Linked DNA regions of Mus musculus: region 2 is reported to be linked to region 1. Evidence: microRNA targets listed by miRTarBase, many of them from high-throughput screens and not tested one by one. Region 1 holds a microRNA gene; the other region holds the end of a gene's coding sequence.

The links. Region 1 holds the annotated microRNA mmu-miR-1948-3p (UUUAGGCAGAGCACUCGUACAG, at 9,083-9,104, opposite strand). A microRNA usually pairs through its seed, bases 2 to 8, with sites in the 3' UTR of a target mRNA and lowers its output. Matches are read on the target gene's strand: a 7mer-m8 pairs with bases 2 to 8, a 7mer-A1 pairs with bases 2 to 7 and ends in A, and an 8mer does both.
Region 2: miRTarBase lists 1700094D03Rik as a target of mmu-miR-1948-3p. Seed matches in the 3' UTR shown: 7mer-m8 at 9,087-9,093 and 8mer at 7,502-7,509.

What each region holds. Positions count from the first base shown.
Region 1 is chr18:12,708,603-12,723,965 of GRCm38, reverse strand. It overlaps Mir1948 (microRNA 1948), which reads right to left and starts at 9,155; the gene lies at 9,071-9,155. Ttc39c (tetratricopeptide repeat domain 39C) reads right to left here. Exons shown (of 14, transcript NM_028341.4): 7 at 3,923-4,016.
Region 2 is chr3:90,060,292-90,075,654 of GRCm38, reverse strand. 1700094D03Rik (RIKEN cDNA 1700094D03 gene) reads right to left here and starts at 12,847. Exons shown (of 4, transcript NM_028567.2): 1 at 12,772-12,847; 2 at 12,406-12,446; 3 at 11,101-11,230; 4 at 7,308-10,145. The coding sequence starts at 12,804. The coding sequence ends at 10,044. 4933434E20Rik (RIKEN cDNA 4933434E20 gene) reads right to left here. Exons shown (of 7, transcript NM_025762.3): 7 at 12,314-14,017. The coding sequence ends at 13,822. It overlaps Tpm3 (tropomyosin 3, gamma), which reads right to left and starts at 3,004. Exons shown (of 10, transcript NM_001293748.1): 1 at 2,805-3,004; 2 at 1,810-1,935. The coding sequence starts at 2,921. It overlaps Mir190b (microRNA 190b), which reads right to left and starts at 5,635; the gene lies at 5,556-5,635.

The DNA.
Region 1 (15,363 bases):
ACAGCAGGGGCAGGAGGGCAGCAGGGGCAGCAGGGGCAGCAGGGGCAACAGGGGCAGGAGGGACAGCAGGGGCAGCAGGGGCAGCAGGGACAGCAGGGGCAGGAGGGACAGCAGGGACAGCAGGGGCAGGAGGGGCAGCAGGGGCAGGAGGGGCAGGAGGGGCAGCAGGGGCAGGAGGGACAGCAGGGGCAGGAGGGACAGCAGGGACAGCAGGGGCAGGAGGGGCAGCAGGGGCAGGAGGGGCAGGAGGGGCAGCAGGGGCAGGAGGGACAGCAGGGGCAGGAGGGACAGCAGGGACAGCAGGGGCAGGAGGGCAGTGTAGACACGACTTGGTCTGACTAGACACTTGCACCTGCCTCTGAACAGCACTCACAGGAGTGAGAAACCATCATCATGTGCTCTGTATGGTGTGAGAGGACAGACAGACCCATCCCTCCACCCCAACCCGCCTGTATTCTGTAGGCTGCAGAGGCTTGTTCCTAGTCACTTGAGCCCCAGTGTGTGCACGCATGGCAGCCCGTGCTGGAGCACTTGCTGGTCCTCACACCTAGCCTCCCCATACCCTAGTGCTAGAAAGGGGAAATCAACAGGGTGAGGACTTCCTCACGTCCACAGCAGGAGCAACTGTGGTGGGGGTCCATCACTCTTTCTTCCATAGAATACTGCCTCTATAAAAGGAGACTTATGAGCCAGGCTTGGAATCGCAGGACCTTTGAGGCTGAGGCAGATTGCAGGGTCAGAAACCAGAACAGACAGACGGATAACAAACACCACCCCACCACATGGACAAAAGAACATTGTCAGGCATGTCACTAAGAAGTTGTGTCACCTCAGACTTGTCACCTGAACTAGTAGAGGTGGGGGTATGCCCTCAGGAAAGAGACAGTCTGATTCTACAAGACACAGCCTTGACACATTTTAGGCTGAGACTGTGGGGTAACATACTAACTGTGTAAGAGACATCAGTGCAAGACTTGAATTCATTTGAAAACAGAAGCAGATGGTAACTGCTAATCAAGGCAGTGGCCAGGTCGCCTTACCCGAGAGTCTGCCTCCTCAATCATGGACACACTTAACTCCTGACTCTGTGTGCTTTCTTCAATCATTGAATCCTAGGCCTATGGGCTCCTAGTTTGTTCTGTCCACTCACCTTGAAGTGGCAGAGTAGAAAACACTGTCCAACCTAGGCTCTGAAATTCCAGTCCTTTGAAACCTTGCTCAACAGCACAGCCACCACACAGCTCCGCCCCCCCCCCCCAGCAGCATTTAGAATATATACAGAAACACATTTCTCTGTTCAGTTATACACTATCCTCTCACTGAGCCGTAACAGGTATCACACACAGCGGCCATCGCTTGCTGGGTGATTCCCCATCTTTTCCCTTGTGCTTTCCTTAAACATGTGTGTCTGCAGGAGGTGAGGCGAGTGATAGGGAGCGAGGGACTGTCTGACAGGTGACAGGTGTCCTCTGCTTCTCTTCCCTGTCACCTGTGGAGTGCTGTGAACACAACTCTCACTGGGTCCCACCAACCCATCATCCTTTCTCCTTTGTCTACTCTTCATTTCTCATCTCCGACACACTGGGCCAAAGTCCAGCATTCTGTTTATATTCCAAGCCCAAAGTTGTATTTGCTCTTCCCAGCAAATGGAGGGGTGGTTACATAAAGGATTCTGAAATCTCTCAAGTGCCAGGGTCAGAGCAGAGCATAGGCAGGCAGCCAGAGAAGCTCTCATAACAACCTGGGAGACGGAGGGGATCTTAGGCAGACACTCTCCTGTGTCCATGTCCCTGTAAGACACAAAGCTGACCAAGAAGGACCTTCTACTTGCCAACGACCTGGTCCCACCTAGATGTGACCTGCTGGCACTGTGCCTTAGTTTGCCTTCTGTTCCTGGGACACAACAATGACCAAAACAACTTGGTTAAAATTATATGAGGATTATGTTACCAGAAAAGCACGTGACTTAGGGATGGTGTACCCTGGTCTTCCTGGAAGAACAGATATGCTAAGTTCTGTCTGGGCACCATTCTTAAGTACCAAGTCTCTCCCTGTTTTTACACACAGGTGAGCTTTTGAAACCCCAAACCCACAGTCTCTAACTGTGCTGTAATAGGAATGGCTGGAAGGCTGGGGCCTGTTCTTCAGGGTCTGTGTGTTGATGTTGTGTATTTTTAGGTGTGGTCTACATGTACGATCTCAAAACTTGGGGAGGAAAGTATTTATTTGGTTTATAGATCCCCATCATAGTCCACCACTGAGGATAACCAGGGCAGGAACCTGTAGACAGGAACTGGAATAGAGGCCATGGAGGAACACTCTTATTGGCTTGCCTACAATGGGCCAGACCTACCTACATCAATCATTAACCAAGAAAATGCCACCACAGACTTGCCCACAGCCAATCGGATGAAGGCATCTATTTATGTCCCTTCTTCCCAGATCACGGTGGTGGCTTGGGGCAAGTTGACAAAAAAGAAAAAAAGTCTAAGTAGAACACACAGTCCCTCCACTGGCCATCAGTGGCTCAGAAGGTCTGGAAACAGACTGGAAGACCTAGGCTCCAGCTTCCTCCTAGGCACTACTTTTCGAGAGCCTTGAGCCTTGAATTTTAACATGTACTAGAGTAATCCACCCCATACTGTCTGTTGTCCCCAAATCAAAATTGGTAGCGAGGAAAAGCGAGTCCCGAGAGACAAGCCTTAGTGCATGTGCTAGAGTGACTGGATCCTCAGTATACAGAGCAGTGTCTTCCCAGAGGACAAGGAGGGCAGCAGAGAAGATGCCCCCTGGTAACAGACTGCCAGAGGTGCTTGTATTCTAATGCTAATATCGGGCCCTGAAGACTCCTTGCACATAGCTAAGTGACCCTGCCCCCAAGTTACTTCTGATTGGGAAATAAAGATGCCAACAGCCAATAGCCAGGCAGAAGAGACAGATGGGGTTTAGGTTTCACAGGTTTGGGGTTGAAGGAGGACCATGAGGAGAAGAAAGTGCAGGAGGAGGAAGGAGAAGCTGCCATGGGTTAGGTGGCCAACTGGAGTTAGGAGCTGCCCAGATGAAACACAGCAAGTAGTAAGTTAACTCAGGGTTATCGATAGGAAAGTAGATTCTAACACCATGGATGGGAAGCTGCTGCCCAGCTCTTGTGCTGTTTAAGGCTTACTGTAAATATACAGGCTGTGTATCTAGGAACCAAAGGGTCAAAAGCAGGGTAGAAACTCTGGGTCAGAATTAAAATTTTCTACAACACCCGCTTAAGCACAAGAGACGGCAGATTACTGACTTCACCCAGACAGACATGCTGGACTCTCCTAGTTACTGACTTCACCCAGACAGACATGCTGGGTTCTCCTGGTTACAGATTTCCCACAGACAGACAGGCTGGACTCTTCTAGTTACCGACTTCACCCAGACAGACATGCTGGGTTCTCCTAGTTACCGACTTCACACAGACAGACATGCTGGACTCTCCTAGTTACCGACTTCACACAGACAGACATGCTGGGTTCTCCTAGTTACTGACTTCACACAGACAGACATGCTGGGTTCTCCTAGTTACCGACTTCACACAGACAGACATGCTGGGTTCTCCTAGTTACCGACTTCACACAGACAGACATGCTGGGTTCTCCTAGTTACTGACTTCACACAGACAGACATGCTCAATTTTCCTGGTTACCGACTTCACACAGACAGACAGGCTGGATTCCTATAGTTACAGATTTCACACAGACAGACATGCTGGACTCTCCTAGTTACCGACTTCACACAGACAGACATGCTGGACTCTCCTGGTTACCGACTTCACACAGACAGACATGCTCAATTTTCCTGGTTACCGACTTCACACAGACAGACAGGCTAGATTCCTATAGTTACTGATTTCACACAGACAGACATGCGCGATTCTCATAGTTACCAATTTCATACAGACAGACGTGCTGGATCTCCCTCTGGTCCACAGCCAGCTCCAGAGCAGTGTGGAAGGAAGTCAAGGCACTGTTGATTTGACACTAAAGAGAAAAAGAAAAGCAGGGTGACTGGCTATGACCTGGCATCAGCATCATAAATCACAACCAGCTTTTTCCTGAGCCCTGATTTTCAACAGACCCAGCAAGCCATACAGGAAAGGTGTTCAAGGGCTGCTAACAAAACATGCCACTTTGCTTGATGCGAGATTAACCTTAGCACATTAACTCCTTTTTAAAAACTGGTTTCTACTTATTTTATGTGTGTGCACATACATGACACAGCCAGCACACTTGTGGAGGTCAGGACAATCTTGGAAGTTGCTTTTCACCTCCCACCATGAGGTCCCTAGGGATTGAACTCAGGTTTGCAGGCTTGGGTGCAAGTGCCTTAGTCCTCCAGGCAGCCCATCAGTCTCTCTTTCTTTTCTTTCTTTTTTTTTGTTTTGTGATACAGGGTCCCTGTGGTGGTTTGAATGAAAATGACCCCCTTAGACTCACAGAGAGTGGCATTATTGGAGGTGTGGCCTTGTTGGAGAAAGTGTGACGCTAGGGGGTGGGCTTTGAGGTTTCAGAAGCTCAAGCCAGGCCCAGTGGCTGTCTCTGCCTGCTGCCTGTGGGTCCAGCACCATGTCTGCCTGCATTCCATCATGCTTCCTGCCATGATGACAAAGGACTCTCAACTGTAAGCCAGCCCCAATCAAATGTTTTATTTTATAAGAGTAGCCACAGTCATGGTGTCTCTTCACAGCAATAGAAAACCTAACTAAGGCAGTCCCACTGTGTGGTCCATATTGGCTTCAATCCCATGATCCTGACTCCAGCTGTCCTTCCCAAGTAGCTGAGACTGCAGGTATACATCTCAAAGCCCGGCTTAGACAGTGACGTTTCCAATAAGGGCCCAGCTCACCCCATCTTTCCCCATACTAGTCTCTCTACATGCATCTATATAGACTTCGCTGTATTATAACTGTCCACCAATCTAGCTCTTTGTAACCAAGCACATTCAATAGGCACAGGACCATATTCTGTCTTCTGGTGAATATTTAGTTGTGGTCAAAAAGAATAACCATCAAAGCCACTACCAGTAAGCCTTGCCCTATCTGGTCCCTCTGTTCAACTGGACAATGGATGGCTGGATTTTAACTGAACACTGGCATTCATTTGCTTCTGGTCATTTGGTCTCATCTCAACACTCAGAACTCTCTGAGGCTCCAGACTCCATCTGCAATGCGCACATCTGCCCGCTACGGTGCAGAACCTACCACCCCCAGATGCCAGTTTTACTCATTTCTGCGTGTAGAGCTCTCCCTGCTTTATTCTGGACCCAGGACAAGGGATGGAAGTGAATATTTTATATATCAAAGAAGATCTGGCCACCAGTTCTCTCATCAGCCGCAGTCCTTAACTGCCACACCCTGCTCCCAACCTTGAATTTTCCAGTCCAGAGGCTGGGCTGCCCTTGCCCCAGAGGTTCTTCCCTACATAATCCAGACACTTGTTCGTGCTTGCTCAAATTCATATTCTCTCTCTCTTTCTCTTTCTCTTTCTCTCTCTCTCTCTCTCTCTCTCTTTCTCCCCTCCCTCCCTCCCTCCCTCCCTCCCTCCCTCCCTCCCTCCCTCCCTCCCTCCCTCTCTCTTCTTCCTTCTCTTCTCAGCTCTCCTGCCCTTTCTCTCTTTCTACCCTTACCCTCATGACAACTTGCTCCTGGCTTCCTTCCTTGGGGCCAGTGAACTTGCCTACCCAGGAGCAGCTCGAGAGATAACCTATCACTCCCCTCCCCAAATCTGCTGTTCCACTTTCTGTGGTCCCAGTGGCCTGTGGTCAACTGCTGTCTAAAACCAGAATACAGTATAGGAAGATACTTTGAGAGGTACAAGAGACCGCATTGTTGTGGGTTTGGTCTAATGCTGCATGTATTATGTTAATCTGGTCCCCAAAATTGCATGAGAATCTGCACATTCTCATGGAAGATGCTGGTTGGTTTTGATTGGTAAATAAAGTTGCCAGTGGCCAAGGGCTGGGCAGGGAGACAGAGGTGGGACTTTAGGACTCCTGGACAAGGGACTGAGAAAGAGCAGGAAAAGGAGAGCCGCCATGCTGGGGAAAGGAGCAGAGGCCTTGCCTGAGGTGTGCTGGGCAGAGAACACAGTCGTCATGTAGGTGCTGGGGAACTCAGACCAAGGGAGCTGCAGGTCTGGGTCCGGGACAGCCAAGATGGAATATAGCTTTTAGTAAGAAATAACTCAGGAATATGAGGGGCGGGGGGAGTATGGCAGCCATGTGGAGGTCTGAAGTGGCCCAGCCATTGAGCTGTTTAAGGCATATTAAAATATAAAGTGTGTGTGTGTGTCTTTCATTCGAGAACCCAGAATGTTAGTGCAAGGAGTACTGCAGCCACCGCTGGGACGAATAGAGCTATTTGGGTTCAGCAGTGCCACATTACTGCCATTTTCACAACAGAGCATGGCTGACTCTTTTCTGGTTTACTTTTGTTCTTTGCCTAATGTGTACATTAAATTATGGCCTGAGTAAGTATGCAGAGGAAAAATGTAGATCTAGCATTCAGCTTTCTCTGGTGTCAGTGGTCACAGAGGGTCTTGGAACATATGCCCAGGTATAGAGGGAACCACTGGACATCTGATTTTTCTTTCCATTAAAAATTTCTTTCTATGTTTGCTAACTTCAGGCTATAAGAACTTGATAAGAACTTTCAAAAAGCATCAAAGAGTCAGAAAAGGTCCAGACTCATTAAATAGGCATCAAGAGCCTTTCAGTACCGGGGAGAGCACACAGCCTGCTCTGTGGGTGGCACCCCTGCACAGTCCTTCCTTGCTCTGCGGGACTAAGGCACCCCATCCACTACCCCCTCCCCCCTACAGTGGCAAGGCTGTGCCTTCTTATCCAGCCCTTCTCTTCTGTGCCTGCTGTTTGCTGTGTCTCCTGCCTCCCAACTCTATTCCCTACATGGCAGCTAGGCAGGGACGATGGGGAGGGTCCTAGAAGAGGTCTGCAGAAGCCCAGAAGCCCTAGGGGTCACTGAGGCTAGGATGAGCCAGGGGTGATCTGCAGGACAGCCTGTGACTCAGGAAGTCTGTGGGCTCAATGGTTCGTTCACAAATATTCACCTGACAGATAACTGCCCTCACGTGACACACCATTTTGTTGTCAGAAGGACTCAAGCTGTGTCCTTCAACCCCTCAGTGAACACTGGGAGGAAGCCACAAAGAGACTTTTCACTTAGGCATTCCTCTTGTGCTTAAATTATGTACCCTGTGCGGATGGGGACCTTAAGACAATGTGACAAAGCTCCCATGGGGGAATCATACCACACGTAAGACACCAACTCTGTGACAAAAACTTTCATGAGGCATGTGTGCAGGTGAGTGTGCAGGTGAGTGTGCAGGTGAGTGTGCAGGTGAGTGTGCAGGTGAGAGTGCAAGTGAGTGCGAAGGTGAGAGTGCAAGTGAGTGTGCAAGTGAGTGTGAAGGTGAGAGTGCAAGTGAGTGTGCAAGTGAGTGTGAAGGTGAGAGTGCAAGTGAGTGTGCAGGTGAGAGTGCAAGTGAGTGCAGACCCTCACACGCTTATTATGCCTGTACCCAGCTATTCCCTTGGGATCAACAGTTCTTCCCCAGCGTCCCCTCCTCACTCCCTACAGCATATTTCTTTTGCACAGGAACCACAGCATTGTGGACTCAGCATTCACACACAGGATATTTCTGAGTGGGCCACTGCAACTAAGCTGTCTCCAGCTGCATGTTCAGTGCCTCCAGAGGACAGAAAGGCACCCAGGCAGCAATTGGGTCTAGACCTTGATAGCATGACTGAAATAAGACTCTGACATCAAGAAAGGAAGATGGAAGCCAAGAAATAGCACTGGCACCACACTGTAGCTCTTGATGTTCCCCAAGCCTCTCCGAGATGGGCACACATCGGTGTATTTTCAAACAACTTAGTCAAGTAACCAGTATTTAATTTCCGATCTGATTAACTGCAAAGTGAGCTTTCTTGAGTGACAGTGACACAGGTTAAGCCCAAGAGCAGGGAGATTATCGCCTGCACCTTTAGGAGGGGTGGCCACAGGCAAAAATCAGAACTATGTGACCACAAGCCCAGGAATGCTGTTAACCACTGCATGCAGCAGAGTCAAGGAACCGATTGTTTCTAGAACCTCAGAGGGAGAGAGACCCTGTAGATGCCTTGTTTCAGTTAGCGCAGTGTGGAGGGGAGCATACAATGTAGAAGATGCTTCAAACTGAAGACAGGTGAATAAATTCAGCACTATGGAGAAGGTGGCTTTCCAGTCCTTGGGGCAAGAGCTGGCAGCCAAGGAGGCAGGAGAATGGTTTCATGAGCTAAGCTAGACAAGGGTGACCTGCTGTCAACCTGAATAGACACAGCCTTAAACAAAACAAAACAAAACAAAACAAAACAAAACAAAAAACAAAACCAACTTGTAGCACAACAAGAACCCGTTAGGTAATGCTCTGGTTATTTCTCCTATGGGGTTTAGAATGCCTGCCTGTATTACCCAGTGCACAAGACAACAGCTAAGAACAAAATGACTACTGCCATGTCAACCTGGATCTCCACACTCAGTGAAAGGGCTTTGAGATATCTGGCCTGCAGACTGTCATACACACTGGGGAAACAAAGGCCACTCACCTGTAAAAGTTACCTGTGTGAAGAATGTGATCTCTCCTTCTCATGCGAGAAACCACTTGAAGATCCTACGGGGTGTGTATGCTTAAAGGTATGGCCCCAAGAGCCAGTGCGACCTCTAAATTAGCCCAAGTTCAACCTTAATCATTCCTTGAGGGATTTGCTAAATAGCAGAAATATATTACCCCTCTTTTTCACCAAAATAATTTAAAACAAGAAAATAATCTATGGTGGGTTTTATGGTGAATTAAAACACCTACCATGGCACAGAGGATGGAAAATTATTCTCAACTGGAGACAAGACTCACAGCTGAATTTTAAAATAAACTGTAGCATTCATAATTGGGCCTGAAGAATACACACAGAGAAGGCTAACGTGGGAGCCACAGTGCTCTGAGTAAGATCAGAACCCCCTGTTTTTATTACAGATTTCCTGATTCTCACCTTACTGTACGAGTGCTCTGCCTAAATGTATCCGTACACCACATTTAGGCAGAATACTCATATAGTAAGGTGAGAATTCTGCCTAAATGTGTCTGTGCAGTGGCCCCACAGGCTGAAAAGATGTCAGATCCTCGGAATCCTGAGTTATACACCGTTATGAGCCACCATGTGGGTGCTAGGAACGAAACCCAGGACCTCTGCAAGAACAGTAAGCCCTTTTAACCACTAAACCATCTCTCCAGCTCAATACTGGCTTTTGTCAGGCAAATTATACACTAACAAATTGTGAGGCAAAACTGTTTGAAGGCCATTATCCTAATTGGTGGTGTCTGCTTGCCATGCATGAAGGCCAGGGTCCCACCCCCCAGAACGCCATAAGGCAGCTTTGGTAGTGCACATCTACAATGCTTGCACTCAGAAGGGAGAGACAGGAGAATCCCCGAAGCTCAAGGTCAATCAGTTATACCGCTAGTTCCAGGCCAGCCTGGATCCATATCTTATTACAACAACAACAACCCTGAAACAAATATCGGCGGCCTTCACTAATAGACAGAAAAACAAACCAACAAGGAGAAGGAAACAAATGAAAGCACTGACTGCTAAACCTGTTCTCCAAGGCAGCCATAAACAGTAAGTGGGGCAGGGCCATTACCAAGCAGCACTGTGCAGGGCAGAGCCATTACCAAGCAGCACTGTGCAGGGCAGAGCCATTACCAAGCAGCACTGTGCTGGGCAGTCACTGTGCTCTGAGTGCCTGCGAACACACTCTTCCGGTTATTCCAGCCTCTGCCTTCTTCCTGGCACTGTGTCCCTGGGCATTTCTCAGCAGGTCCGCAAAGTGCTCTGGACTCCAAGAGCTTTAGCTTACACCTGCCACTGTTATGCTCCGGGAGAAGTGGGAGGGAGAGTTTTGAATACAGCAGGCAGGGGATCGACCATTGTACTGGCCAGTTTTGTGTCAACTTGACACAGCTGGAGTTATCACAGAGAAAGGAGCTTCAGTTGAGGAAATGCCTCCATGAGATCCAACTGTAAGGCATTTTCTCAATTAGTGATCAAGGGGGAAAGGCCCCTTGTGGGTGGGACCATCTCTGGGCTGGTAGTCTTGGTTCTATAAGAGAGCAGGCTGAGCAAGCCAGGGGAGGCAAGCCAGTAAAGAACATCCCTCCATGGCCTCTGCATCAGCTCCTGCTTCCTGACCTGCTTGAGTTCCAGTCCTGACTTCCTTGGTGATGAACAGCAGTATGGAAGTGTAAGCTGAATAAACCCTTTCCTCCCCAACTTGCTTCTTGGTCATGATGTTTGTGCAGGAATAGAAACCCTGACTAAGACAAATTGGTACCAGGAGTGGGGTATTCCTGTGACAACCTGACCATGTTTTGGGGAGGACTGTGGAAGGACTTTGGAACTTTGGGCTTAAAGATCCATCCGTTGTTAAGAGCTCTGTCGGATGTTGTGTAGGAGCTTGGAAGATAATGTTGAGAACAGTGCAGAAGATGGAGGTCTGGTTTGTGAAATTTCAGAGGGAAAATTAAAGACTCTTTTCAGGGCCATTGCTGTTTTGAATGTGAAGATTCTGTAGTTCTGGTTAGCTGGGGCTGAAGAATCAGCTGTGATTAACAAGATACCAGAACTACCAAAGCAAAAACTTTGTATTACTGGTACTATTGATGCTGGTTAGCTGGAGCTAAGAAATTAGCGGTGATTAAGAAGAGACCAGCATCATTGAGGTGACATCTTCTGGGAAGTGTTTTCTGAAAGCACAAAGAGGCTGTGTTCCAGAGATGGCCAAGGTTGTACTCTTGCTGCAGCAGGACTTGGTAATATGTAAGGGTCACCCAGGTGGTACTGGTTTTGAAGGCATGAAGGGGTCACGCAAAGCAGCTGAGGCTTGGCACTGTGAGAGGCCATGGAAGGCCACTGGTGAAGGTGCAGCCTCAGTTGCAATTGAAGGCCCAGGACTGAAGGGGTCATGCAGTGTTTTGGAGATGCCAGTACCATGAGATGATCACCAAGAGCAGCAGCAGCAGTGGAGTACAGGCATCTGGAGCCTAGAGGATGATGCATGTGCTACAAAGGGCCTGGCTGGAGAAGTGACCCAAGCCCTTGGAGGAGCCCAGAAGATCATGAGTTGGATCCCAGACATTGGACGGTTGGAGATTGACTTTTGCTTTTGATTGTGACTGTGCCCTGATATTTTCCCTCTTGAAGGAAGAAACTTTTTTAGTGTAGCCCACAGTTAAGAGAGTTTTAATTGTAAAAAGACTTTGGATTTTAAAAGAGATGGATATTTTAAAGAGATTGAAATTTTAAGAATATGTAAAGACTGTGGGACTTTTAAAGTTATTTAGAATGGGGATGAATAAGATTGTAAGGGTTGAGGCTTACTAGTGATGTTTTTGTGTGTCAAGTTGACAAGGGGTCAATTGTACTGGCCAGTTTTGTGTCAACTTGACACAGCTGGAGTTATCACAGAGAAAGGAGCTTCAGTTGAGGAAATGCCTCCATGAGATCCAACTGTAAGGCATTTTCTCAATTAGTGATCAAGGGGGAAAGGCCCCTTGTGGGTGGGACCATCTCTGGGCTGGTAGTCTTGGTTCTATAAGAGAGCAGGCTGAGCAAGCCAGGGGAGGCAAGCCAGTAAAGAACATCCCTCCATGGCCTCTGCATCAGCTCCTGCTTCCTGACCTGCTTGAGTTCCAGTCCTGACTTCCTTGGTGATGAACAGCAGTATGGAAGTGTAAGCCGAATAAACCCTTTCCTCCCCAACTTGCTTCTTGGTCATGATGTTTGTGCAGGAATAGAAACCCTGACTAAGACAACCATCAATCTAGTTCTTCAAATTCAAGTTCTCCAAACCTCCCGTTGTTCTCTCTTGGCTCTTCCACTGAGACAACCAAGCCACTGGACAATGACTCTCTTTGAGAAGACTCTTCACAGGCTATGAGCATATCAGTTAGGGCTCGTGCCTGCCTTGGTCTGGACTTTGATGATGGTTGGCATTACCAGGATGTGCCGACAGAAATGGCTTGTATCTATGTCATTTTCACCAAAAAGGGAAAGGGATTTTTTATTTTCAATTTGTTAATACTCTCTTTACCTTTGAAAAAGTCCACATTAGGTAGCCTTGCATTGAAAATGCCTTTAGAATTATTTCTTTAATACAGGAAACACCAGGGGGTAACCTCTCGAGGCTGAGCTATGAGGAGCTTTTGTGAATAAGCCCTACTGGTTTACAGAATAGACTTAAAAATACTGTAGTAAGCTGGGTGTGGTGGTGGCTACCTTGACTCCAGCTTTTGGGAGACAGTCAGATGGACATCTGAGTTCGAGGCCAGTTTGGCCTACACAGTGAGGCCAACCACCATAACTGGCTCTGACTTTAGTTTCTTGGTATACATATATATGTGTGCCTATGTATGGTTGGTGCATACGTGCAAGTGTGGGCAGAAACCGGAGGAAGGCAGCAGATTTGCAAATGCTGGAGCTACAGCCACCAACATGGCTTCTGGGGACCAATCTAGACCTCTGAGCAGCGAGGTCTCTTAGCTTATTTCTGGCCCAAAATCTTGTTTTTTATGATGCGGTTTAAACTTTACATGTTACATGTAAGTCACACAGACAGACATATTAAGAACAGACTCTAAGGGTCAGAGTGGGGTCATTAGGAAAGTACTGTAGCCTCCAGGAGGCTTGCCCTGTCACACATTCATCTTGTTCTTGCGCGGACAGGGCTGTTTTTCATGACATCCCTCAGCGGGTCTCTGACACCAGAGATACTAAGTACTTGAACATGTCTGAAAAACGGCAGGAGCAGTCAGTTCTTCTGTCTCTACCTGTTAAGTATAAAGCCTCTTGGAAAAGAAGTCACCAAACCCTCCTCTAACAGAAGTGGAGCCAGAGAGGGCAACTCATACACGAGACCCTTGTCTCTCAACAATCAAGCATAGGATTTGGGAAACGTGTGACAGAGAATGCTTTTTCCTGGGACTCACAACTCAACTCAAGTAGAATGGGGACACTAATGAATGCAACACCACACACTCAATGCTTCTGTTTGCCTGTGTGACGGTGCTGAAGACTGGTATCCACTGGGTAGCAGGTACAGTCCTCTTTACATAGATAACACACGGGATCACAACTGCAGGCCAGGAGCCAGGCAAGAGGCTCAGCAGGTAAAAGCACTTGTGTTGGCAGCTCAGTGACCTAAGTTTGATCCCTGTATGATAAGAGAAGGAGAGAACCAAGTCTACAGTCTGACCACACATACATGTTATGGCAGGTATGTGCATACACACGTACACACACACTCACATACACACAATAATAATAGCGATGATGATGATAAATACTTTAAAAATCTAGGCAAGACCAAACAGTGAAGGAATACTAGGTGTTGAACCCAGACCTTGTGCATTCTGGTCAGGCACTGTCCACTGAGCTACACTCCCAGCCCACAAGACCTTGTAGAGACAACCTCAATCAACACTTTCTCTACTACACCAGAATGCTTTTTTTTGACATGATGGAGAAAAAGCAGAAAATTAAAAAAAAAATGTGTTCATGTTAAAGATGACATCAAAGAATTAAAAATAATTGGCAGGAGAATGCCAAGAAATGAAAAAACAGCAACACACTGGTTTATGAACTAAGCTGTAGCACTTGGAAGACTGGGATTCAAGATGAGCAAGGAAGACAGAGAACAGAGACACAGATGACCAAATGTGAGCAGAGACAGGCATAGTCAGGAAAGTGACCTCAAGGAGGTCCCTGGACGCAATGGCACCGTGGGAGGATGTCATCAGGTGTCTGGCTAAGGACCTTTGTAAACTCACAGATGCACAGGCACCACCATCTCAACGTAGACCAGTTTCCTCATCTTCCTCTTGACTATCAGTAACCGCACACCCTCAATGTCTTATAACTAAATGCATTCCCTGGGACCAGCATGGACCGCAGGCAGCACGTGCTGACTCCCGCAGACTTCATTCCTTTCTAGTGCCGGATTGCAGGCTACGATGGATGTGCCACATGCTTTTCTGCTGACAGACACTGGCCTCGACGCTACCTTTTTACTACTAAAGATAATAAATAATATGGAATGTATATTTTCATTTCTCTTGAGTATATACCAAGAACTGCTGAGCTGTGTATAAACTGAAGTTTAGCACTCTGAAGACATGTTCAGGCGCTTTCAGAGTAGTTGTCCCACTTTGGATTCCCACCAGCAATGAATGAGGATTCTGGTTTCTCCACAGCCACACCAACATTTGATTCTTGCTGTTTCTTGCAGTGTTGCTGTACACTGCCAGTTGGGTGTGAAGTCCTACCTCCCATTGGATTGGATGGACAGTTTTAAATGACTTTCAACACCAAGTATCTTTTCACAGGCTCATCTGCCCTTTGCATCTCAACAAGTATTCACTATGGGCCATCTGTGGGCCATCATGGAGGTTATGCCAAAGACCATGTGACCTTAAGAGGCTCTGCCACTGAAACTGAAAGAAAGATGAAATTTCAAGATCTGTAAGTCATATAAAGTACCCAGAAATTGCTGGTTGTTTGTGAGCCTAGAAGCTGCCTGGGGCTGAGAACAAAGAAAAACAAACCCGGGCATGCCCCATAGTTAAAACATTCCTGGAAACAGCTTGACCATAAAGATAAAGAGGAATGTGAAGACAAAACAGGGCTATCTGAACTGAGTCAACAACTCACAGAACTCTGACACCCTGACCTGCAAGTAATTTTTCTGTTGATGTTTGAATAAGCCAATAGTGTGTCACTATGCTGAATTCCCCACACCTAAGCCCTTTACCCCATAAAACCCCCTAGCTTTCGAGCCTTGGGGTCGAATCCACTGTCTCCTGCGTGAGATACATTTTGACCCGGAGCTCCACCATTAAACTGACTCATGTGTTTGCAGCAAGAAGGATTCTCATGTTTCTTTGGGTGTGCTCTCTCTCTCTCCCGAGACTAGAGTAGGGGGTCCCTGAAAGGGGGTCTTACAAAACCAGCCAACATTGCTAACCTCTCTTGGGTATGTATACTCCAAGGAGAGGTGGTGAGTCCATAGTAAGCGGATGCCAATTTCAAACTGGGTAATTTATCCTTTTATTCTGAGTTTTAATACTGTTTCCAGACATAATCCTCCTTTGAATATATAACTTATAAAGTCCTCTTCCTAATCTAGGCTGTCACTTTGCTCCCTCTGTGTTTATGACACTAGTGTTTCACTGGGCTGTAATTTAATTCACCTATTTTTTGTCTCTATATTTTTGGTGTTCT
Region 2 (15,363 bases), not on the chromosome of region 1:
TATTCTAACACTCACTACACTGAGACTTTGAAAGAGGACAGCCTGGGCTAAAGAATGGCTCGGCGGGTAAGAGCACTGACTGCTCTAACAGAGGTCCTGAGTTCAAATCCCAGTAACCACATGGTGGCTCACAATCACCCATAATGAGATATTATACCCTCTTCTATCTGAAAACAGCTACAGTGTACTTATATCTAAATATTAGTAATAATAAATAGTTATATATAGTAAATTAATCTTGTTTTGTTTTGTTTTGGTTTTGGTTTTTTTTTTGTTTTTTGTTTTGTTTGTTTGTTTGTTTGTTTGTTTTCAAGACAGGGTTTCTCTGTATAGCCCTGGCTGTCCTGGAGCTCACTTTGTAGACCAGGCTGGCCTCGAACTCAGAAATCTGCCTGCCTCTGCCTCCCAAGTGCTGGGATTAAAGGTGTGCGCCACCACGCCCGGCTGTTTTTTGGTTTTTTTTTTGTTGTTTTTTTTTGAAACAGTGTTTCTCTGTGTAGCCCTGGCTGTCCTGGAACTCACTCTGTAGACCAGGCTAGCCTCAAACTCAGAAATCCGCCTGCTTCTGCCTACCAAGTGCTAGGATTAAAGGCGTGCGCCACCACTGCCCAGCAAATAAATACATCTAGAAAATATATTAGAAAAAAAAAAAAAAAGAAAGAAAGAGAAGAGCAGATGCCTCCCAGCAAAGACTGAACGTGAGCATCTAAATGCGTCCGTCGGGAGTGATCCACTCTGTCCTTTAAGCTGTTTTCCAAAACCAAACATGATTTAAAATAACATCAGCTTCTAGTTTTCTCCTCACCTGGATGCTGAGAACTGTGTATGATATGCCTGTGTAACTGACATATCCTTTTGTTGTTTTTGTTAAAACCCCTATGGGCTAGGTAAATGTAGCTGGTTGGAGGGCTGAATTTAATCCCCAGCACCCCAAATAAAAAATAAACCATCCTGTGGTACTTTTCTTCAAAGCAGATGTCCTATATAGTCTTGTGTTTCTCTTTGCAGCAAACGTCAGTGTTGGAAATGAAGGAAAGTGGGTACCAAACTGTAGTAGGAGGTGGGCAGAGGCAATTCATTTTCGTTTTAAGAGGGGAAAAGGCTCTTAAGAACTATGTAATTTATTCAGGGCTGTAGAGTAAGATCTAGGGGTACTGCCTTAGCCTGCTTCCCAGTTTCTGTTATAGTTCACCCTTGATACGTCACTGCTCTCCTATGATCAGAGTTCTCTGTAGCATCTCTATGGCATAAAGGCAGATGTCCACCTTGGCTAGGACAAATAAACCCATATAGGGCCAAGGTCAGTGTGACCTCCATTTTCTATTGTGAAATCTAAGCTGGCTTTCTTGGGTAACTGAGAGATGAGAGGCTCCCTATTAATACACACATGCACATGCCAAACCTTGTACACAAAAGCTAAGAATGTGGCATGGGGGGGTGGGGGAGTGGATACCTGAGAGCATGCATCTGGATGTGGAGGCCCCTCCTTTGTCCAGGTTCTGGAAAAGGTCATTAGATTACTGCGAAGGAGGTTGAATAGTGCAGAAATGAGATCTCTCTCTCTCTCTCTCTCTCTCTCTCTCTCTCTCTCTCGTGCATGTGTGCTAGTGTAGAACCCAGGGATCCATGCACGTTAGGAAAGCATGCTGCCACTGAACTATGCCCTCAATCTCAACATGTCTTTGAGTAAGAAAGTATACCCCAACAGAAGAGCATGCCAGCGCATTGTCATGTGCAAGAGTATTATGTTGGCATATGTCCCCACAGTCTATGGGTAAGAAGGCAAATAAGCCATCCCCCAATACTCACGTCGGCTGCCTTCTTCTCTGCTAGCTCCAGCTTCTCCTGAGCATCCTTTAAAGCTTCCGAATACTTGTCCAGCTCATCCTCTGTCCCTTTCAGCTTCTTCTGCATGGTTGCTAGTTCATCCTCTAGCTGGAGCCAGAGCCCAGAGAGTAACACACAAAGACATAAACACAACAGTGTATACTTGGACTCCAAAGAGCACTGAGCCCAGCCCCAGGAGAGACACACTTCTTCAGCCATGCTCCAGGCATCAGGCTATGGCTTCACCTCAGACCCTATAATGTCTGGCCCCAAGGTGACCAAGTCATCTGGTGCTTTAATGCAAGACTGTTGAATGATAAACATCTAGTGGGGAAGCTTATTTCTGTGATGTTACAGAGAGAGACAGAGAGACAGAGAGAGTTGGATCATTCCTTACCCTTTGCTTTAGAAGTAAGACATTCTTCAAAATGTGGTCTACTTCTACTTAAGTCCTGCAGGCACACTGTGGCTAGGAAGAGGCCACCGGCTTTCTCAAGGTCACATGACAGTGCAAAGGGGCTACCCTAAAGCAATGGTGCTCAGCCTTTCTAGTGCTGAGACCTTTTCATACAGTTCCTCATGTGGTGGAGACCCCCACGCATAAAATTATTTTCATTGCTATTTCATAACTGTTAATTTTGCTACTGTTTAAATCATAATGTAAGTATCTGTGTTTTCTGATGGTCTTAGGCAACCCCTGTGAAAGGGTTAATGACCCAAAGGGGTCTCAACTCTCAGGTTGAGAACTGCTGCCCTAGATGTTCAGGGGGAGGGGCTTCATTGAGACTGGGGCATTCCTCCCACCCAAAAAAGAAGCTGGCCCAGTGGTCACTGCCTCTCCCATGAACCCCCTGCCCCTCTGGCTGCCTTGAAACTCAGCCTCCTGAGTGCTGGGATTACAGGGGTGTGTGCCACCATTGCCTGGACCATCTCTGTCTTGCAACCAGCAAGTGGGAAAGGTCCATACCAGCACCTACCTGCTTGCTTCTTTCTTCTGCCTGTTTCTGCTCAGCTTCAGCTTGCTCAGCTCGGTCCAGAACATTCTCTTTGTCTAACTTCAGCATCTGCATCTTTTTCTTGATGGCCTCCATCATGAGCTGTGACCGTTGGTGGGCTCACCTGTGAACACTGGAGAACTGGAGGCTGGGGCCAGAGAGGAAGGGCTGCCACCCGGGTCACTCAAAGTTCCCCAGGTTTGAACCTTTATCTGTGCTTGCGGCTCCACCTCTTCTTCCTAACATGGTCTTTCTAGCTCCCTCCCATCCCTTCACTGTTCCCCTGGGGGAACACAGGGTCAGACACATTGATAGACTGACATCACCAGCAAGAAAAAAAAAATTGAGGAACAGCTGAGGCTGATTTTAGACAATGGAAAGTGGGGGTGGGGGAGGTTCTCCCTGACCTTGAAACTTTCCACTCGTTCTTGGCAGCTCTGTGGGTCCCTCAAAAGTAGAGGAACAGAAGAGGGGGGAACACTGAAGCACAGAAGGGTACTTTAGCAGTTCTCGCCACCAGAGGGGTCCTAGTAGCCTTCAGATCTCTCATTCTCCCCTTGGACTATATTGGATATGGACCAAACTCTACTGGTTTGGTCTTTGGATTCCTGGTATCTAAGGAGCGTGGTCAACAGTGACGATGGGAGGTCACTCATGATCGTTGACAATTCCCCCAGATTGACAGTTGGGATTGCTGGGCTATTTTGGGATTCTCTAATAGGCAAGGAGACATTAGTCTGTAAAGGCCATAGGATAAAGTTGAAGGCCTGGGATCTGAAAGGGTATCTCAGGGTGTCAAGTGGGATGAGAAACAAGGAGGTCACAGAACAGGATCACGTTTTCTCATAGCGACCTTAAAATAGAAGGTCTGACATACTGAAGACTGTCGCTTTCCTCTACTCCTCTTCAACTGCTCCCTCTGTGGCCCCCTCCCCAGCCCGCTGTCCACCATGCCATTATAGTGTCCACCAGCTCTACTTCCCCCAGTGTAGTGCCAGCTATGCTCATAATTCCACTTGGAATCTTGCTATTGACAGGTGGCAATTGATCCCATACACAGTTGCCATATACCCATCTATGCCAGAGGAGTGGACACTGTTCAAGGTGACCGGACTGGAGCTAGCAGAGCAAGTAGAAGTGGTTCTAATTAATTCATAATGTCAAGGATAGTTAGTGTTGAGGCTAAACCACAGCAGTGTGGGACCGGAGTCAAGCATCAGGGTGGGGGCAGGGGCAGAGCCGGCTCCCTCTCGAGAGCCTCCCTGTTAAGAACAGACTGATACTAACAGACTGGGAGGAGAGACTTCCAGCTAACTGTTGGAAGAAAGCAAAGAAAACAAGCACCCCCAATTGAGAGGCCAGTCAGGAAAAGGGGACAAGAGAGAACCAGAGAAAGGACATGTATGGGTTGATAGAGAAGAGGGCAATAGAGAGGAGAAAAAGACAAGAGCAGAAGACAAGGAGGAGAGATACATCCTTTCTACCATAGGGGGCAAGATATATGAAGAGTTGCTCCTCAAATTTCAGCTCTCTCCCACTTCCACATGAGCCTTCCGGGTTAACATGGGCTCTATATACATCTCTTTTAGGAGAGTTGTGGAGAGAAATTTAGTTAGAAAAAGAATCGCCAGGCACGGTGGTGCATGCCTTTAATCCCAGCACTTGGGAGGCAGAGGCAGGTGGATTTCTGAGTTCGAGGCCAGCCTGGTCTACAGAGTGAGTTCCAGGACAGCCAGGGCTACACAGAGAAACCTTGTCTTGAAAAACAAAAAACAAACAAACAACAACAACAACAACAACAACAAAGAACTGATACTTTTAGCCGGGCAGTGGTGGTGCATGCCTTTAATCCCAGTACTTGGGAAGCAGAGGCAGGCAGATTTCTGAGTTCGAGACCAGCCTGGTCTACAAAGTGAGTTCCAAGACAGCCAGGACTATACAGAGAAACCCTGTCTAGAAAAACAAAACAACAAACAAACAAATCATGGGGCTGGTGAGATGGCTTAGCAGGTAAGAGCACCGACTGCTCTTCTGAAGGTCCTGAGTTCAAATCCCACAACCACAGGGTGGCTCACAACCATCTGTAACGAGATCTGATGCTCTCTTTTGGAGTGTCTGAAGACAGCTACAGTGTACTCACATATAAATAAATAAATAAATAAATAAATAAATAAATAAATAAATAAATCTTTTTAAAAAATCATAGGGCTGGAGAGATGGCTGAGCGGTTAAAAGCACTGACTGCTCTCTTCCAGCGGTCCTGAGTTCAATTCCTGCAACCACATGGTGGCTCACAATCCTCTGTAGTGGGATCTGATGCCCTCTTCTGGTATGTCTGAAGACAGCAAATATATATATATACATATACATATATATATATAAAATAAAAAATAATGTAATAACCTGGGTCTATAGCTCAGTGGTAGAGTATTTGCTTAGTGAATATGAGGTGTTGGGTCCCATCACCAACATTTTACAAAAAAACAAAAAAGGAACAAAAAAAAACAAGCACTGGGTATGGTGGCATGTGCCTTTAGTCCCAGTGCTCAGGCGGCAGAGGCAGAGGCAGGAGGACTTCTGTGAGTTTGAAGCCAGCCTTGTCTACATAGTGAGCTCCAGGACCACCAGGGCTATGTAGGAAAACCCTGTCTTGAAAACAAACCAGAAAGTCAGGCAGACAAGAGTCTCAGAGCCCCAGGGGCTGACGGAGCCAAGGAGGTGGTGCCAAGTCTCCTTACTGCTGTGAGAGTATGCTTGACATTCAGTTGGTTCATAATTTAACAACCCAATATCAAACATATCACACAGAAGCAGGCAGGCAAACTCTGGTCGTCATCGGCCCCTCCCCTCTCTGTGAAGAAAGGTCAGGGAGACGAACCAGAGCCTCACCATGTACAGGAGGAAACCCATCTTCAAGGGCACTGACCCTTGTGGTCTTTCACTCCCCAAATATGGTCTTGGTTATCTGTCCTTCATGCCGTCCCCACCACAACCCCTCTTCTACTGTGTTCAGTGTGTGCTGGATCATGTTTTTGTAATTCAAGAACACTGGGCAGGGCTTCATATCCGGGCACCTACCGTTTCCCGAAGCTCCCACACAACTCTTCTCCTCCCTGTTGTGTGACAGCACCAGCTTCCAGAGGATCACCATGTCAGCAGCGCCTCAGAAGCTTTGCCACCTGCCTTTCGATGCCACCTCAGCTGCCCAGGGCTTTCCGGGGGGTAAGGTTAGGGGTTTGCATCTCCTCTACTTTCTCCTTTCCAACCAAACTTCTAACGTTCCCAGATTTCTTTTCTCCTGTGAGACTGCTCAGTCTTCTCAATGGACTCCAACTTCATAGCTTCAAGTCAACAGGAGTTCCAGAAAATGTTTGCAATGTGGGGCTGGTGCTTGTACCATCTGGGTCCTTGTTTCCTCCTCATGACCTTAAGGCATCCTCCTTCAAGGTACCATTGGGTGTCCAGAACAGAAAAGCTATTGCACTCACAGGCTTCAGTCTGGGCTCCAGACTAGCAGACTCCCAGCTTCTCCTTCCTGGCTGAATTGAAACTAAGGCTTTTAGATCAAGAGCAAGAGGGAACTGCTTCTGTCAGGAGGCAGCCTGCAACCCTCAGGACTCCCATTCCTTTCTACAGCTTTCTGTCACCAGAGGTCCGGGGCTGCCTTCTCCAAGGCTCTTCCTTCATAGGGATTCAACCTGGTTATTTTTCCCCCTCTTGGAGAGAATTGGGTCTGTTGAGTGCCATTTGGCTGATGCTTCACTCACTGTGGCAAAAAGGAGCCCAAGTTATAGCTGCACGGGGGCTGGGAAAACACTCTTTATCAGTCCTCAGGCATGTTCCATGTGTCCTTGCTCCCATTAATTCTGACATCTCCCTCCCCCACACAACTTCACAGTGACTTTGTCTTAGATCAATAACATGTCCCAACAACCAATCAATTCCAATTAATTGGATGTGGCACTTGCCTCCCAGGGAAAGACTAATAAATGTGACTAAGCCCCAAGTTAGGTGCTTGTGGTATTTTGTCTTTTCTCTTTTGTAGTTCCCAAAGTCTGAGTGTGTGTATGAAATATTTATATTCTTGCCCTCCACTTACTGATGTTACCCCTCATCTCTCAAGTTCTATTTTTCCCTCCTGAGAGCCTTGGCCATAATGGGAAACAGAAAGGAGGAAGAGAGGCTGGAAGGAGACTAGAAAGAATGGAAGACTCCCCAAATGAGGGTAGCAGACACCTTTAACTGCAGTACTTGGAAGGCAGAGGCAAGAGCAGCTCTGGAGTTTGAGGCCAGCCTGGTCTACATAGTGAGTTCTAGGACAACCATGACTACATAGAGAAAACTTGACTCAAAAACAAACCCAAACAGAATTGAAGTTTAGGGTACTATAGGAACAGAGAAAGGTTGGGCATATTGGTGTGGGAGGTGCGGCTCTCTAGGAAGACTGGGTGGCGCAGTTAAGAAGAAACACCACACCAACGAAAGTACTTTATCTTTCCTTTTATTTTTATTACACTTTCATATTTTGTGTGGTTGTGTCATGGTGCCCATGTGAAGGTCAGAGGACAATTTCCAGGAATCTGTTCTCTCCTTTATGAGGGTTGATTAACTCAGGTCATCGGGCCTAGTAGGAAGTGTCTTTATCCACTGCACCATCTCACAGAGCTCTGCCAGTGGTTTTTAGGCAGCTATTTCAAATAGGTTTAAGTCCCAAGTCACAAGGCCAGGGTGTGACATCAGCTCCAGCAGCAGCATGGACTGGTGGGGTACAATTGAGCGATGTGATGAGTGCACACAGTATTGGCAGGGAGGGTCAGGGAAGATGAGCGCTGTAGTGAGCCAACCTGCCAATAAAGGAGTCGGCCTGGCACTGATGAGCCCTGAGGCAACAGGCCAAGGTCAGAGATCCAGGCAGACAGGATGGGGCATCCAGTGAGTCTAAATGAACAAAGGAAGAGAGAACTGAAGAGGTTGGTTATAAAGTGTAGTGGGAGTAGAAATTAGGGAAGAAAGTACCATGGAGTAGGAAGACAGCATTATGGCTTCCTGTTTGTATTACTTATTATGTGTGATTTCTTCTAGGTGTCTTATTTAATTCCCACAGTAACCCAGTAAGGTTGGAATTGTTTTCATTTCATAAATTAGCAACCAAAACTCAGACTTAAAATTATTTAAAAATGTTTTATATGCATGGGTGTTTTATCTGCATGTCTGTGTACCATGCGTTTGCCTGGTCCCTGCCAAGGCCGGGAAAGGGATACTCTGGAACTGTTGAGTAACCATATAGATGTTAGGAATTGAATCTGGGTTCTTTGCAAGAGTAGCTAGTGCTCCCAATCACTGAGCCGTTTCCCCAGTTACCCGCTTCTCAGATTAAAAATTGGACTAGACCAAACTAAGCGAAAAGGCCAACCCTGAAAACCAGATCTGTCCATTCTATTAACTCTAGGCCATACTATCTGGTAATCAGCAGGTGGTCCAGGAGACAGAAGGAAGATTAAAGAGGCTAAGAGGGTACAGACCAGACTAACACAGGGCAGGGACAGACAGAAGGATTCAGTCAGTCTTGTCAATCAAAATCCAGGTGGCATTTTGTGGCTTCATCTACAAAACACATGCTACACTTGTAACTCCTGTTCAAAGCCTGCTTTCCCCACCAGCCTGTAGCTCCAACTCATTTAATGAAAGTATCCATGACCAGCTACGAATGACAAGGGATTAGGAAGCAGTGGCATTGAAGGCAAAGAGGAAGGAATGTGATCAAAAGAAGAAAGATGACATTTAACTGGATGTGCGTTAACTGCAGGACCACAGAAAAGGGCCCTGGGTTACAGAGAAATATAATGAGGGTATTTTAGGTCAATCACTGGGCTTGTGCTCTCTACCTATTTAATCCCGAGGAAAATCCTAGGAGAGTCTGTCATTTCCAGAAGAGGAACGATGTTCTGATACTGTGAACTTATACCTGACCCTAAAGCTTGTGCTTTCCATGGGTGGGATATGGAGGGACAAGAAGTAGTAGCTCCCGACAGCTAATGAAAATTACAGGCTTTAGTAAGGGATGCAGGCTAGAGACAGGCTGGAAGGAAAAAGGACGAGAATGTGAACTTTGCAGTGGAGACAGCCACACAAAACTGAGGGTAGGAAAAGATCCCTTGGCACACATGCCTGAACAGCAGCACTATCGATGGAAGCCAAATTTAAAATATTAGCCATTGCCGGGTGGTGGCGCACGCCTTTAATCCCAGCACTTGGGAGGCAGAGTTAGGCAGATTTCTGAGTTCGAGGTCAGCCTGGTCTACAGAGTGAGTTTCAGGACAGCCAAGGCTACTCATTTGCATCTTTGTGACCTACAGGTGTATACTTTCCAGGATTTTCAGTGTCAAACACCTTGAGAATAGACATGATCTTTCCAGCTCCTCAAACCTACTGCTTGATACTTGACACTTGCTCCACTGCAAGCCAAATGCCTAGAGGGATTAGAGTTTGGAGGCTTCAGTTTTGTAAAGTAGGAGTGGGAATTCAGGCTAATCCATGGTTTCACAATGAGGTGACTTCTAAACATACAACTGGGGCCTCCTGACACTCAAGCACCACAGTGCCTACAGATTAATAGACATTAAACATGGTTTTTGTCCACGAATTTAGGAAAGATCAGTGAAACTGAAGTCTGAGGCAGTGCCCACAATCTAGGAAGTAAAATTATGGCAGCCAAGAACAAATCAAGACTCAAGGCTGAGAATAAGCCCTGTGGCCTAAATCTGAACTTTTTAAAAAAAAGATTTATTTATTATTATATGTAAGTACACTGTAGCTGACTTCAGACACTAGAAGAGGGCATCAGATTTCATTATGGGTGGTTGTGAGCTACCATGTGGTTGCTGGGATTTGAACTCAGGACCTTTGGAAAAGCAGTCAGTGCTCTTACCTGCTGAGCCATCCTGCCAGCCCAAATCTGAACCTTTAAGAGCTAGCTTTATTTGTTAAACCAAATCAGATTTTTAAAACCAGACAATGTACATAATCTCTCTTCCCGCCACAGTGCATATCCCACACTGACCACAAGGTGTCACTCTTGTGTCCAGAGGCAACATTTAGGTTGACAAAATAGTGAAAAAGATTTAAGTTCCAGGTCCAGGTGTGTTTTGGGAAGCTCAGGGTAAAGCATGAAGGCTTGCTTAGCAGGCGTGACGAGGTGGAAGAACAGTGTCTTGGCAGCTGTCAGAGTCTTTCCTCATAAAAAGCTTTGCCCATCTGATTGAGTTCCTGCTGGTACTGCTGATACTCCTTTTCAAACAGCTCGTGTAAGGCAGCTTGACGGACCTGGTAGGGAAGGCAATAAAGTGTTTGGTGTCGGCTCTTCAACACCTCTTCTCAGACTCTGGTTGCCTTTCCCATCCCTGTGTTCTGTTGCACCTGGACTTAGCTGGGACATAAAAGGAGGCAGTAGAAGAAAGTGTGAATCACTGGAGGGGAAGCCTACCTAATTTCCCTTCCCTTAGGCAGAGACTCATTGTTCAACAAATATTTTGCTGAGAATGCACCATGAACTAGAAAATCTGCTAGGTACTCAAGAAAATAAGAGTGACATCACAACTGTCCCCCAAGAGGAGAAACATCGGCTTAGGCTCTCACTGGATGAAAACAGTGAAGACTATGATGCACTGGGAATTGGAAATGTGTCACTTGCAGCTGGGGTGGGGGTTGGGGAGACACGCCTAGAATTCCAGTATATTCGAGGCTTGATGTCTGCAAGTTCCAGGCCATCCTGTGATGCAGAGCCAGACCTTGTCTTAAAAATAAATACATAAAATAAGACCCCTGGCTAGATGTAGTGATGCATTTTAATCCCAGCATGCAGGAGACAAGAGGCAGGTGGAGCTCTGAGTTCAGGGAGGCTAACCTGGCCTACTTAGCAAGTTCCAGGTCAGCTACGGCTGCAAAGTGAGATCCTGTTTCAAACTAAACCCAACCCAAAGAACCCAAGAAAACAAAGCTTTAATAACCCAAAGCTAAAAGAGCATCTCACCTGCAAATAATGAAAATGTAAAAATAATCACTTACTGAAAAAGAACTTTGACATGTGATGTTAATGTTCTGATAAAATAATGAAAAAGAATCTCAGAGGCAAATGATATGGTTAAGTCGAGAGAGAGAGAGAGAGAGAGAGAGAGAGAGAGAGAGAGAGAGAGAGAGAGAGAGAGGAATTTGATATCCTGGCTGGCAGGAACACAGAGCAGCAAAGGGGAAGACTCCAGGCTGCCCTCCTAGAACTCACCACTAGTAGCTGTTTGTTAGACAGTGCTAATTCCTGTTCCTTAGTATCCTTCATCCTTAGGGCAGCAAATAGGTTTCTCCGTTGGTCCAATGTTGTCTGCCACATACAGTGAATATGAAAATTCCGCCACCTGTCCCAGATGTAGGGGTGGGAATTAAACTGGTAAGTTAGTAGTAAGGATCCGCTGCTTTGAACTGACTTAGGATCTAGTGTGGACTGTTACTGAACTCTTACCATGAATAGAGTCAGATGCAGGTCAGCTGTTATAGTACACAGAGAAAGAAACTCACTTGTGTCACCTTGTTCTGGGTCTTACATCACTGTCCCCCTCCCCTGCCCTACCCCACCCTTTATTTTCAGACAGGGTTTCACTGTGTAGCCCTAGAACCACCTGCCTCTGCACCCAGAGTGCTGTGTTTAAGTCATTCACTACCACTGCCTAGCAACTAAAAAAAAAACAAAAACAAAAAAAACCCAAAAAACATTTTTATGTACCCAAACTGGGCTCCAACTCACATTGTAGCTAACCCAGAACTTCTGATGCCCATCTCTGTTGGAAAATAAATCCAAGTCCTGTGCAAGCTAGGCAAACAGTCTATAAGTGAGCTATCTGTGCCCTCCTTTAAAAGGCTTCTCACTATATAGTCCTGATTCTCTGGAATTATGTGGACCAGTCTGGGCACAAACTCAAGAGAGCCCCGTCTCTGCCCATAGTGTTGAAATTAAAGAACAAATACCACCAAACTGCGCCTCCCTTTGGGGTTGAGAGTCTATCAGTCACAAGTTAGTTTAGGCTGGCCTCAGATTCATGCTCATCCAAGCACCGAGATTATAGGTATGGGCCTCTCTGTGCTGCTTCTGCCAGCACTTAAAAAAAAAAAAAAAAGAGGAAGATTGGAGATACAGCTGGTGGTAGAATGCTTCCATGCACAAAGCCCTGGATTCAATATACCCCAGTGCCACAAACATCACAATGTTAGCAGGTGAAATCTGCAGTTCAACCTGCCAGGGACTGTCACTTGTTCACCAACTGTTGAAATACCTGATGTATAATTAGTACAAAGCCAGGTGAGGAACACAAGAACATTCAAAAAAAGAAAGGCAAAACAACAAACACTTGTGCCGTTTCTGCAGGGGATGGGAAGCAGGGGCAGAGAAAGACAAGGCTCATCTCCTCTCCCTGTTTTTCTCTCTGCTCTGTGTTTTCCTTCTTGAGGAGTCCTCACGGAGAGCAGATTTCGGTGGTGCCTCAGGGAGAGGAGAGCAGAAAATACAAACTGATGAGAGCAGATGAAAACAGATTACCTGTCGACAGTCTTCTTAAGTGCCACAGCTCTTTGCAAATTCTGCAAGAGAAGGGAGTTCTGTTGATCTCCTGGATTGCTAGAAGCATACCACTAGTACCCACTTTTTGAGGAATGAAGTAGTGAGCTTCATAGGGGCAAGTGGGAAAGCTCCACATCTTGAAATCAGACTGAAGAGAAAATACAGGAGCCAGAGGGACTTATGCAAACAGCCACTCTGTTCCACAAGCAGTTTCCCATATATTGCCAACTCTCCCTTATGCTTCCAAGGGTCTTTCTCGGGAATGGTGTACTTTGGGTAAAATAACCTGGAACCATATCAAAGAAAACTCCACCAACTCCCAACCCTCTTTCCGACCCTCCATACCTCTTCTAGTTTTGTCATTTTTTCTGCAGACATATCTACTACAGACATGCTTGCTAAGTTTGGGGACACTGGGAAGGCTCTCCTTTCTGTTTAGTTTGGTCACCAAGGTTTCAGTAGTCATAGCAACATTTAGGCGTCCAACAATGACCCTAGTCCTGGTAGTTGACTGGTTACTTGGGCCTGTTGCCCTAGTGACCTGAAGGGAATCCTGATTCTCCAGCTTTCTATTAGTGACAAGGCCAGGCTATAAGCATGAGCCACACAGTCCCTATTTTAGGATTTCTTCTGTTGGAATTTCAGACTATCAGTAGTTTAGATCCAGACACACAATCCAATCAGTTTCTGGAAGCGACACTCCACACCCTATGTCCTGTAAGGAAAATGTAAGCACACATCAAATGCCTGTTGCTCTAAAGACCACTCTAAAGAAATGATCCATGGTTTTACAGTAGTTAGTTTTATTAAGTACTTTGTAAACTGAGACTAATACGCTGACATCAGAGGATACCACTTTTTCACATTATCTCACCATCGTGGCATAGGTTATGCCAAGTGCCAGAATGCCCCTTTCTACTTGTCCTAAGGACTGGGTGAAGGTGGGGACAGATCCTTCCACTTTAGGAAAGTCATGTTCATGTCACAATACACCTGGTTTAAACGGAGCAACAAAATCCCAAAGGACATTCTACCCACTTTTGAGATGCTCTAAACCCAAATATTTCTATTCAGTTGAGTGCAATGGGGCAGACAGAGAAGACACCTCACCTCAACTTACATCCTTGGGATTAAACAGCATTTAACAGGGTAGGTGATTTACAGCCAAAATCAAGCGAAGATTTTCAAAGAAGCATCAACAGAAATGTTAAGAATGACATTTGAATTCAAATCCAGAAGAAGTGCTACTGGGAGATACTGAGGTCTTAGCCAATATCAGAAAGGGTTGGGAATGACCTTTTAGACACTGTTCTGTAAGAATGCTTTGGCCAATAAAGCCTGGGTCTGCTGAACCAGACATCCCGAGTGCTGCACGGCTGCACGTGTGCAGCCCCATCACAGAGTGCTCTCCAGTGTGTTATAGTTGTCCTTAAAGCTCTTCAGTTCCAGGAAGTGCTTAGGGCGTTTGCTCTTCTGACTGGAAGGCAGGTATGTGACCTGGATTGTTGTTGGTGACATTTCAGGTGACTGAGTTAGGTCTTTGGCTGCTGACTGGTGTTGTCTCTGAGAACTTCCAATTCGTGCTTTGACCCTGAAGAATATATAGCAGGCATGGACAGAGTGAGAACTAGCAGAAAAGGGGTTGGAGAGATGACTCCTTGGTTAATAACATATACCGCTCCTCCAGAGGACCAGAGTTCAAGTCCTGGCAACCACATGAAGTGTCTGTAATTCTAGCTCCAGGCCAGAACCTTTTTTTTTTTTTTTATTTTGGTTTTTCAAGACAGGGTTTCTCTGTATATAGTCCTGGCTGTCCTGGACTCACTTTGTAGACCAGGCTGGCCTCGAACTCAGAAATCATCCTGCCTCTGCCCCCTGAGTGCTGGGATTAAAGGCGTGCGCCACCACGCCCGGCTCAGGCCAGAACCTTTACACATGCTTAACTAAAACTAGTGAAAAATGCATCTTAAAAACAAGAAATTCCCAAAATACAACTCAGAAATTACTCCACCCCATAAATGCAGCAAAAAATCATCTGATCTATTTTACCAGTTACTAAGCAAGGTATAGTGGCAGAGACCTGTAATTCAGGGGGCAGAGGATGTCACAAATTCAAAGCCAGTCTGGTCTACATAGCAAGTCTGCCCCAACTCAATGCATTACAAAATGACCCCCCTCCCCGACCTCTCAAAACAAAACAAAACAAACAAAACACAAAGCCCAAACAACTCATTAGTAAAACAATTTGATAATTTATATTATCAGAGAATCCAAATTTTAATCCTTTCTTTCTTGGGATGTGGAGAGAGAGAAGGGACAGAAAGGGTCTTACTATGCAGGTGAGGCTGGCCTTATAGGAAAGTGGGCCATTATATCTGGCACCAGCTTTTTTTTTTTTGGGGAGGGGGGTGTCGAGACAGGGTTTTTCTGTATAGCCCTGGCTGTCCTGGAGCTCACTCTGTAGACCAGGCTGGCCTCGAACTCAGAAATCCGCCTGCCTCTGCCTCCCGAGTGCTGGGATTACAGGCATGCGCCACCAATGCCTGGCTGGCGAAACGAGAATTTGAAAAAAAGAAAAATAGCCAGGTATGGTAGCATATACCAATAATCCTAAAACTCAAGATGGCAAAGGCAAGAGGATTATCATTGTCTTGAATTATAGGGAACAAGATCATATCTCAAAAAGCCCAAATTAGGGGGCTGGAGAGATGGCTCAGCGGATAAGAGCATTGACTGTTCTTCCAAAGGTCCTGAGTTCAAATCCCAGCAACCACATGGTGGGTCACAACCATCTGTAATATCTGATGTCCTCTTCTGGTGTGTCTGAAGATAGCTACAGTGTACTCATATACATAAAATAAGTAAACCTTTAAAAAAAAAAAAAAACAACCCAAATTAAAACAAAGTAACAAAATATCTAATGAAATATAAAGCAAT